Anolis sagrei: one gene and its partner. The protein of the gene in region 1 purifies or fractionates together with the protein of each later gene. This does not show direct contact. Links are inferred from orthologs where the notes say so. Each region holds a gene or a part of one and is shown on either strand. Other genes may lie near its edges.

The links. Proteins that work in one complex are often made in the same cells at the same time.
Region 2: the proteins of ATP6AP2 (region 1) and ATP6AP1 purify together in Homo sapiens (affinity purification with mass spectrometry; 5 studies listed by BioGRID and IntAct, counting the BioPlex papers as one, with this or other methods). This does not show direct contact. The link is inferred for Anolis sagrei from reciprocal best matches to the Homo sapiens genes ATP6AP2 and ATP6AP1.

The regions. Positions count from the first base shown.
Region 1 is NC_090023.1:78,451,640-78,455,390, forward strand, and holds the start of ATP6AP2 (renin receptor), read right to left. Parts: upstream 2,964-3,751; 5' UTR 2,870-2,963; coding exon 2,815-2,869; intron 1-2,814. UniProt on the Homo sapiens protein: Multifunctional protein which functions as a renin, prorenin cellular receptor and is involved in the assembly of the lysosomal proton-transporting V-type ATPase (V-ATPase) and the acidification of the endo-lysosomal system.
Region 2 is NC_090022.1:174,429,451-174,433,201, forward strand, and holds the start of ATP6AP1 (V-type proton ATPase subunit S1), read right to left. Parts: upstream 2,369-3,751; 5' UTR 2,306-2,368; coding exon 2,205-2,305; intron 1-2,204. UniProt on the Homo sapiens protein: Accessory subunit of the proton-transporting vacuolar (V)-ATPase protein pump, which is required for luminal acidification of secretory vesicles.

The sequences.
Region 1 (3,751 bases):
CACTGGGTTGGTGTGAGTTTTCCGGACTGTATGGCCATGTTCCAGAAGCATTCTCTCCTAACATTTCGCCCACATCTATGGCAGGCATCCTCAGAGGTGTCAGGTCTGTTGGAAACTAGGCAAGTGAGGTTTATCTATCTGTGGCATGTCCAGAGTGGGAAAAAGAACTCTTCTCTGTTTGAGGCAAGTGTGAATGCCACAATGATTAGCATCAAATGGCCTTGCAGCTCCAAAGCCTGGCTGGTTGCAGCCTGGGGGACTTCTTTGATGGGAGGTGTTAGCTGGCCCTGATTGATTCTTGTCTGGAATTCCCCTGTTTTTGAGTGTTGCTTTTTATTTACTGTCCTGATTTTAGAGGTTTTTTAAAAAAATAATAATACTGGTAGCCAGATTTTGTTCAATTTCATGGTTTCCTCCTTTCTGTTGAAATTGTCCACATGCAAAAAACAGGAGAATTCCAGACAGAGCCATCAGGGCCAGCTAACACCTCACAAAAAAGGATCCCCCCAGGCAGCAACCAGCCAGGCTTTGAAGCGGCTTGGCTATTAAATCCAAGGCAAGGTGGCCAATTGCAACATTCACACTTGCCTCAAACAGACAAGTTTTTTTCTCCCATCTTGGACATTCCAAAGATACATAAACCTCACTTGCCTAGTATCCAACAGACCCCACAACCTCTGAGTATGTCTGCCATAGATGTGGGTGAAACATCAGGAGGGAAAGCTTCTGGAACATGGCCACACAGCCTGGAAAACTCACAGCAACACAGTGATTCCAGCCATGAAAGCCTTCAACAACTCTACCACACTGTTAAGTTCTGATTTTCCACTAGAAGAGGTATCCGCATTGTTGCCTCTGTGAAGGCAGAGGAAAAACACAAACACACAAGAACAAGGAAGGGTAGGATTTCAATAGGCATTCAAGCTTTCAGTAGCTGTTTTGCCTGGGGTGGGTGGGGGTTTACCTGAGGAACTAACACTTCTATATATCCCACTTTTGCAACAACTTGGCTGATCAGGAACTTAACCTATCCTTTGCAACATCTTATACTGGAAGAGGAACAGAGAATATGAATGCAGAGTTAACAGATATGAGGGAAATGTCTTTAGAGTGTATGAGGTTGGTTGCAGACACCAGCTAAAGAAAATCCTATGTAAAAACTTAATTGTGCTCCCTATAAAATATCATGCCATGTAATATAATTGTATTAAGTTGTGAAGTGGCCATAAGACTTTGGTAGTATCTGCTGTTGCACACCTTGGACATTCCAATCAGGGTTTGTTTACTGGAGGCTCTTTGGAAATGACCGCATCTCCTTTTACGAACCTACATGATCCCTTCGATCTTCCGGAGAGGCCCTTCTCTCACTCCCGCCCTCATTGCAAGTGCGACTTGTGAGGACGAGGGAGAGGGCCTTCTACGTGGTGGCCCCTTGGCACTGGAACTCACTCCCCAGAGAAATTAGGCAAGCCCCCACCCTGGCTGTCTTTAGGAAGAGTCTGAAAACTTGGCTATTCCAGTGTGCCTTCAGTCTTTGATCTTGACCAAACCCTGCATAAAATATCCTCAGAAGCACTTTACTCTATCTTCTAGTGCAATTAAACCTTACTTTTGTCCCTCTGTTCCTCTGTCTTGATACATTACATGGCCTGCTTACCCAGTGTTTTAATCTTTTAATCCGTCCTGCTCAATTACTGTGGTTTTATATTGTTTGGTGTGTTCATTTATATTGTTTTTGTTTTTATTTTCATTGTATTTTACTGTTTGCATCTTATGTTGTATATTTGCTGTATTGTTGGGCTTGGCCTCGTGTAAGCCGCCGTGTCCCCTTGGAGAGATGGTGGTGGGGTATAAATAAAATGTTATTATTATTATTATTATTATTATTATTATTTTGAAACACATCCTGATGAGTCCACAGCAGACACTCTGCTGGCTGTTGTATTGGATCACATGTCGGACACTTCCCAAGTTTGTTTGTTTTTTGTTGTATCAGGAGCGACTTGAGAAACTGCAAGTCGCTTCTGGTGTGAGAGAATTGGCCATCTGTAAGGACGTTGCCCAGGGGACGCCTGGATGATTTGGTGCTTTTTATCATCCTTGTGGGAGGCATCTCTCATGTCCCCACATGAGGAGCTGGAGTTGATAGAGGGAGCTCATCCACCTCTCCCCGGATTTGAACCTGCAACCTGTTGGTCTTCAGTCCTGCCGGCACAGGGGTTTAACCCACTGCGCCACCATGGGCTCCTACTTCCTAAGTATCTAGGACTGTGTGATGTATCGGCGAATAATGTGTGCAGATCCTAGTAACGTGGCCTTCTGCAGCTGGCAGATGGTAATCTTGTCAGCACTGATTGTGTTTAAGTGCAGGCCAAGGTCTTTAGGCACTGCACCCAGTGTGCCAATCACCACTGGCACCACCTTGACTGGCTTGTACCAGAGTCTTTGCAGTTCGATCTTTAAATCCTCATATCAGCTTTTCCAGTTGTTTCTCTTCAATCCTGCTGTCATCTGGGATATTATTGTTGTTATTATTATCATCATTATTAAATGGAGAAATGAGAGGGAAAGCAGTTCTTTCCTATCCAAAAGCTCTTACATTAACTACCTGCGGACAAGTCAGGGGAAGATAACACCTGACAGTTCATTAATTCCCAATGTCCTTCGAAAACACCTCCCCAAGTTTGCTTCCTCTCGCATGGGTCCCAAGGCCGGTGGGAGCCCTCCGTGTGGCCTAGGCCCCAGAATGCCTTGGAGCAACCTCCTCCTCTCCGGCAGCGGGCCATTCAGCGAGGCAGACTCCCGAAGCCTTACCTGCCACAAGCGCCGAGACCAGCCATAGGCCCAGGCTGCTCCACTGCCGCCCCATCCTTCCCAGTCGTCGCTTCCTCAATGAACTCGAGACCTCAGAAAGAGGAAGTATCAACCAGCTGGTCCCGAGGCCCAAGCCAACGCCCACTTCTGACACTAACTGACTGCACTCTTAGCCAATCAAAAGCGTACATCTCGAAACCAGGTGGAGTTATGGTGTGAATGACAAAGCCGAGTGACCAATAGAAAAGCACTAAATAAAAACCCGCCCATCGACTTTCCTTCTGGGGATCACGGGATACCACGGGACTTTAGGGTGAAGCTTCAGCTTGAGTGACAGCAACATTAGCCATTCACGATTCGGCTCTTCCTCCAAACTATACCTATAGGAAAACGGAGGGCGTGCACAAAATGTGAGGGCGCTCGACGTCCGAAGGGCGGGTCTATCTCCATTGAGTGACAGGAAATCTAACCACTTAGAATTAGAGGCGGAAGTTTCCCGATGGGATTGACAGGGCGGTTGGCCAATGAAAGCCTGAAGGATCCCGAAGGCGACCAAGGCCAATGAGATAGAATCATAGAATCATAGAGTTGGAAGAGACCTCATGGGCCATCCAGTCCAACCCCATTCTGCCAAGAAGCAGGAATATTGCATTCAGAGCACCCCTGACAGATGGCCATCTAGCCTCTGTTTAAAAACCTCCAAAGAAGGAGCCTCTACCACACTCCGGGGCAGAGAGTTCCACTGCTGAACGGCTCTCACAGTCAGGAAGTTCCTCATGTTCAGATTGCTGAGAGGAGGCAGTCGGAACTGGCATACAATGGGAGCTGCTGTGTGACGGCCAGGGTTTGAAGTATCGCTTTTCCGCACTATAAGTCCCAGAAGAACGAGAAGTGGAGGGCGGTGCATTTATATGAGAATATTTGTGAATGACTTGCC
Region 2 (3,751 bases), on another chromosome or scaffold:
ATCGAGAGCCATAAAAACATATACATTCATTAAAATATCATATATCACAAATTACAAAACAACTTTAAAAACACTAAATATAAAACTACAGTGGTCAGTCGTCCTAATAAGATGGATCTGTGGAATGACCAGGATAGAACAAAGGACTCTTGTCTGCTGGAGCTAGGTGTGAATGTTTCAACTGACCACCTTAATTAGCATTTGATGGCTTGGCAGTGCCTGGGGTAATCTTTTGTTGAGAGGTGATTAGATGTGCCTGATTGTTTACTCTCTGTTGTTTTGCTGTGGTAATTTTAGAGTTTTTTAATACTGGTAGCCAGATTTTGTTCATTTTCATGGTTTCCTCTTTTCTGTTGAAATTGTCCACATGCTTGCGGATTTCAATGGCTTCTCTGTGTAGTCTGACATGGTGGTTGTGAGAGCAGACAAGAGTCCTTTGTCCCACCCTGGTCATTCCACAGATATATAAACTTTACTTTATTTTCCAGACTGGGCCACAGCAACGCGTGGCAGGGGATGGCTAGTCTATATAAATAAAAGTGTAATGTTCGTTTGTGGGATTAACAGAACTCAAAAACCACTGGACGAATTGACACAAAATTGACACCTATCAGGCCAACGAGTGACCATCACTCATAAAAACACTGTAAAACACAGCAGAAAAGGCTTTAAAAGCCAAATATATATATAAAACATCAAAATGCATGTGCAAAACCACACATATGTGCAAATACACATATATCCACAAATATATAAGGTAAAGGTTTTCCCCTGACATTAAGTCCAGTCATGTCAAACTCTGTGGTGTGCTGCTCCTCTTCATTTCCAAGCCGAAGACCCGGCGTGGTCCGTAGACACCTCCAAGGTCATGTGGCCAGCATGAGCGCTGTTGCCTTCCCATCAGAGTGGTACCTACTGATCTACTCACATTTGCATGTTTTCAAACTAAGTTGCTCCAGGCACAGTCAGCCCATTGTATGCTAATCAAGGTGGTCAGTTGAAACATTCACACCTAGCTCCAGCAGACAAGAGTCCTTTGTCTCACCCTGGTCATTCCACAGATATATAAACCCTTTTTCCTAGTTCCAACAGACCTCACTACCTCTGAGGATGCTTGCCATAGATGCAGGCGAAACATCAGGAGAGAATGCCTCTAGACCAGGGGTCCACAAACTTTTTAAGCAGAGGGCCAGGTCACAGTCCCTCAAACTGTTGGAGGGCTGGATTATAATTTGAAAAATAAAACATGAATTCCTGTGCACGCTGCACATATCTTATTTGTAATGTAAAAAACATTTAAAAACAATAAAATAATTAAAATGAGGAACAATGTTAACAAATATAAATCTATTAGTATTTCAATGGGAAGTGTGGGCCTGCTTTTGGCTGATGAGATAGGATTGTTGTTGTTGTTATGTGCTTTCAAGTCGCTTCAGACTTAGGTTGACCCTGAGCGAGAGCCGGGTAAATGACCTTGGAGGGCCGCATCTGGCCCCCGGGCCTTAGTTTGAGGACCCCTGCTCTAGAACATGGCCATACAGCCCGAAAAAACCTACAACAACCCAGTGATTCCGGCCATGAAAGCCTTCGACAATACAAGTTCACAGAAGCTGGGGCTAACAGCATGAGCTCACCCTGCTTCCCGAATTCAAACCTGTAATATTTGGTAAGGAAGTTCAGCAGCTCAGCAGTTTAACCCACTGCACACACATATATACACACACAAAACACATAGACACAAAATGGGTCACAGCAACGCGTGGCAGGGGACAGCTAGTAAATAATATAGCCCTTCATAACCAGAAGGGCTGCCCTTCAGCTCTGAGGCCCCTTCTACACTGACATATAAAATCCAATTGTTTGCTTTGAACCGGATTATATGGCAGTGTAGACTCAGATAATCAAGTTCAAGGCAGATAATGTGGATTATCTGTTTTGATAATCTGGATTATATGGCAGTGCAGAAGGGGCCTGGGAGCAATGATGGAAAAACGCCATTTAATTCAAGATGAAGTAAACATTTCACCAAAATCAAGCCAGTGCATGCTGTACAGAGAGAAGGGCTTCAGTGCCTCGCCAAACGACAACTCCCACCATCCCACAGCACGGAGCGGTGTCGAACTGCGTTAATTCTACAGTGTAGACGCACTCCAGACAGCCCTTTGCTGTCTCATTCCTGCAAGGTAGTCCAGAGGCCCGCGTACCTGTGGCTGGACCAGGCCAGCAAGGGCACCTGTCCTGTCTGCGCCGCCGCCAGGCCCAGAAGCAAGAACAGCCAAAACCCAGCAAACACCCGCAACGCCATCTTTCTTCCCTCTCTGCTCCTTTCACCGCTGCTTCCCTTCGCCTGCTCTCCCGGCGCGTCACAGCCAATCAGAACGGGAGGAGGATATTGGTTCCAAAAGGCAGCCAATAGGGACGCGAAGTAGGATCAGCCGCAGCCAATAGAAACCTCCTTCCTATCGCCTATGATTTCCTTCTCCTTCGTAGGAGGTTCCTCGCCTTCCAGAGGCCTTTGGTGCTCCAGAGGTTTGGACTTCAGCTCCCAGAAGCCTCAGCCATTGTGGCCACTGGCGTGGGATTATGGGAGTTGAAGTCCAAAATACCTGGAGGGCCACAGCTTGAGAACCAGTGCCATGGATGACTAACTGCTTGGGCCAAGGTTCAAGTCTCTCTCCAGCCATGGAGCCCAGTGGGTGACCTTGTCCTTTAGCCTCACTTCCTTGAAAGAACTGCTGGGAAAAGGAAAGGAAAAGAAGGTAAAGAGTGCATAGAGTTCCACCTTGTCTCCTGTGCTATGCTAATAATATAATATAATATAATATAATATAATATAATATAATATAATATAATTTATATACATATAATATTAATATTATAATGTAATGCAATATAATACTAATGATAATAATAATATGATACTAGGACGTTAAGATCGCCTGGGGAGGCCCTGCTCTCGGTCCCGTCTGCGTCACAAGTACATCTGGCGCTGGGATGAAAGACAGGGCCTTCTCAGTAGTGGCCCCTCAGCTGTGGAACGCCCATCATATTATTATTATGATTAGTATTATATTGCATTACATTATAATATTATTTGGTTAGACCACACCTGGAATATTGTGTCCAATTCTGGGCACCACAATTCAAGAGAGATATTGACAAGCTGGAATGTGTCCAGAGGAGGGTGACTAAAATGATCAAGGATCTGGAGAACAAGCCCTATGAGGAGCGGCTTAAGGAGCTGGGCATGTTTAACCTGAAGAAGAGAAGGCTGAGAGGGGATATGATAGCCATGTATAAATATGTGAGGAAGCCACGGGGAGGAGGGAGCAAGCTTGTTTTCTGCTTCCTTGGAGACTAGGGCAAGGAACAAAGGCTTCAAACTACAAGAGAAGAGATTCCATCTGAACATGAGGAAGAACTTCCTGACTGTGAGAGCCGTTCAGCAGTGGAACTCTCTGCCCCGAAGTGTGATGGAGGCTCCTTCTTTGGAAGCTTTTAAACAGAGGCTTGATGGCCATCTGTCAGGGGTGATTTGAATGCAATATTCCTGCTTCTTGGCAGGGGGTTGGCCCATGAGGTCTCTTCCAACTCTTTGATTCTATGATTCTATGATAATATTTTTTTTGTCGTGTCAAGACTTTCGGTATATATTTCAGATTTCAATATTAATGTCAAAAATACATAGTATGATTTTACATAGGATTTGTGCTACATTAGAACAGTCAAGACAAATATCACTTAAGTAAAA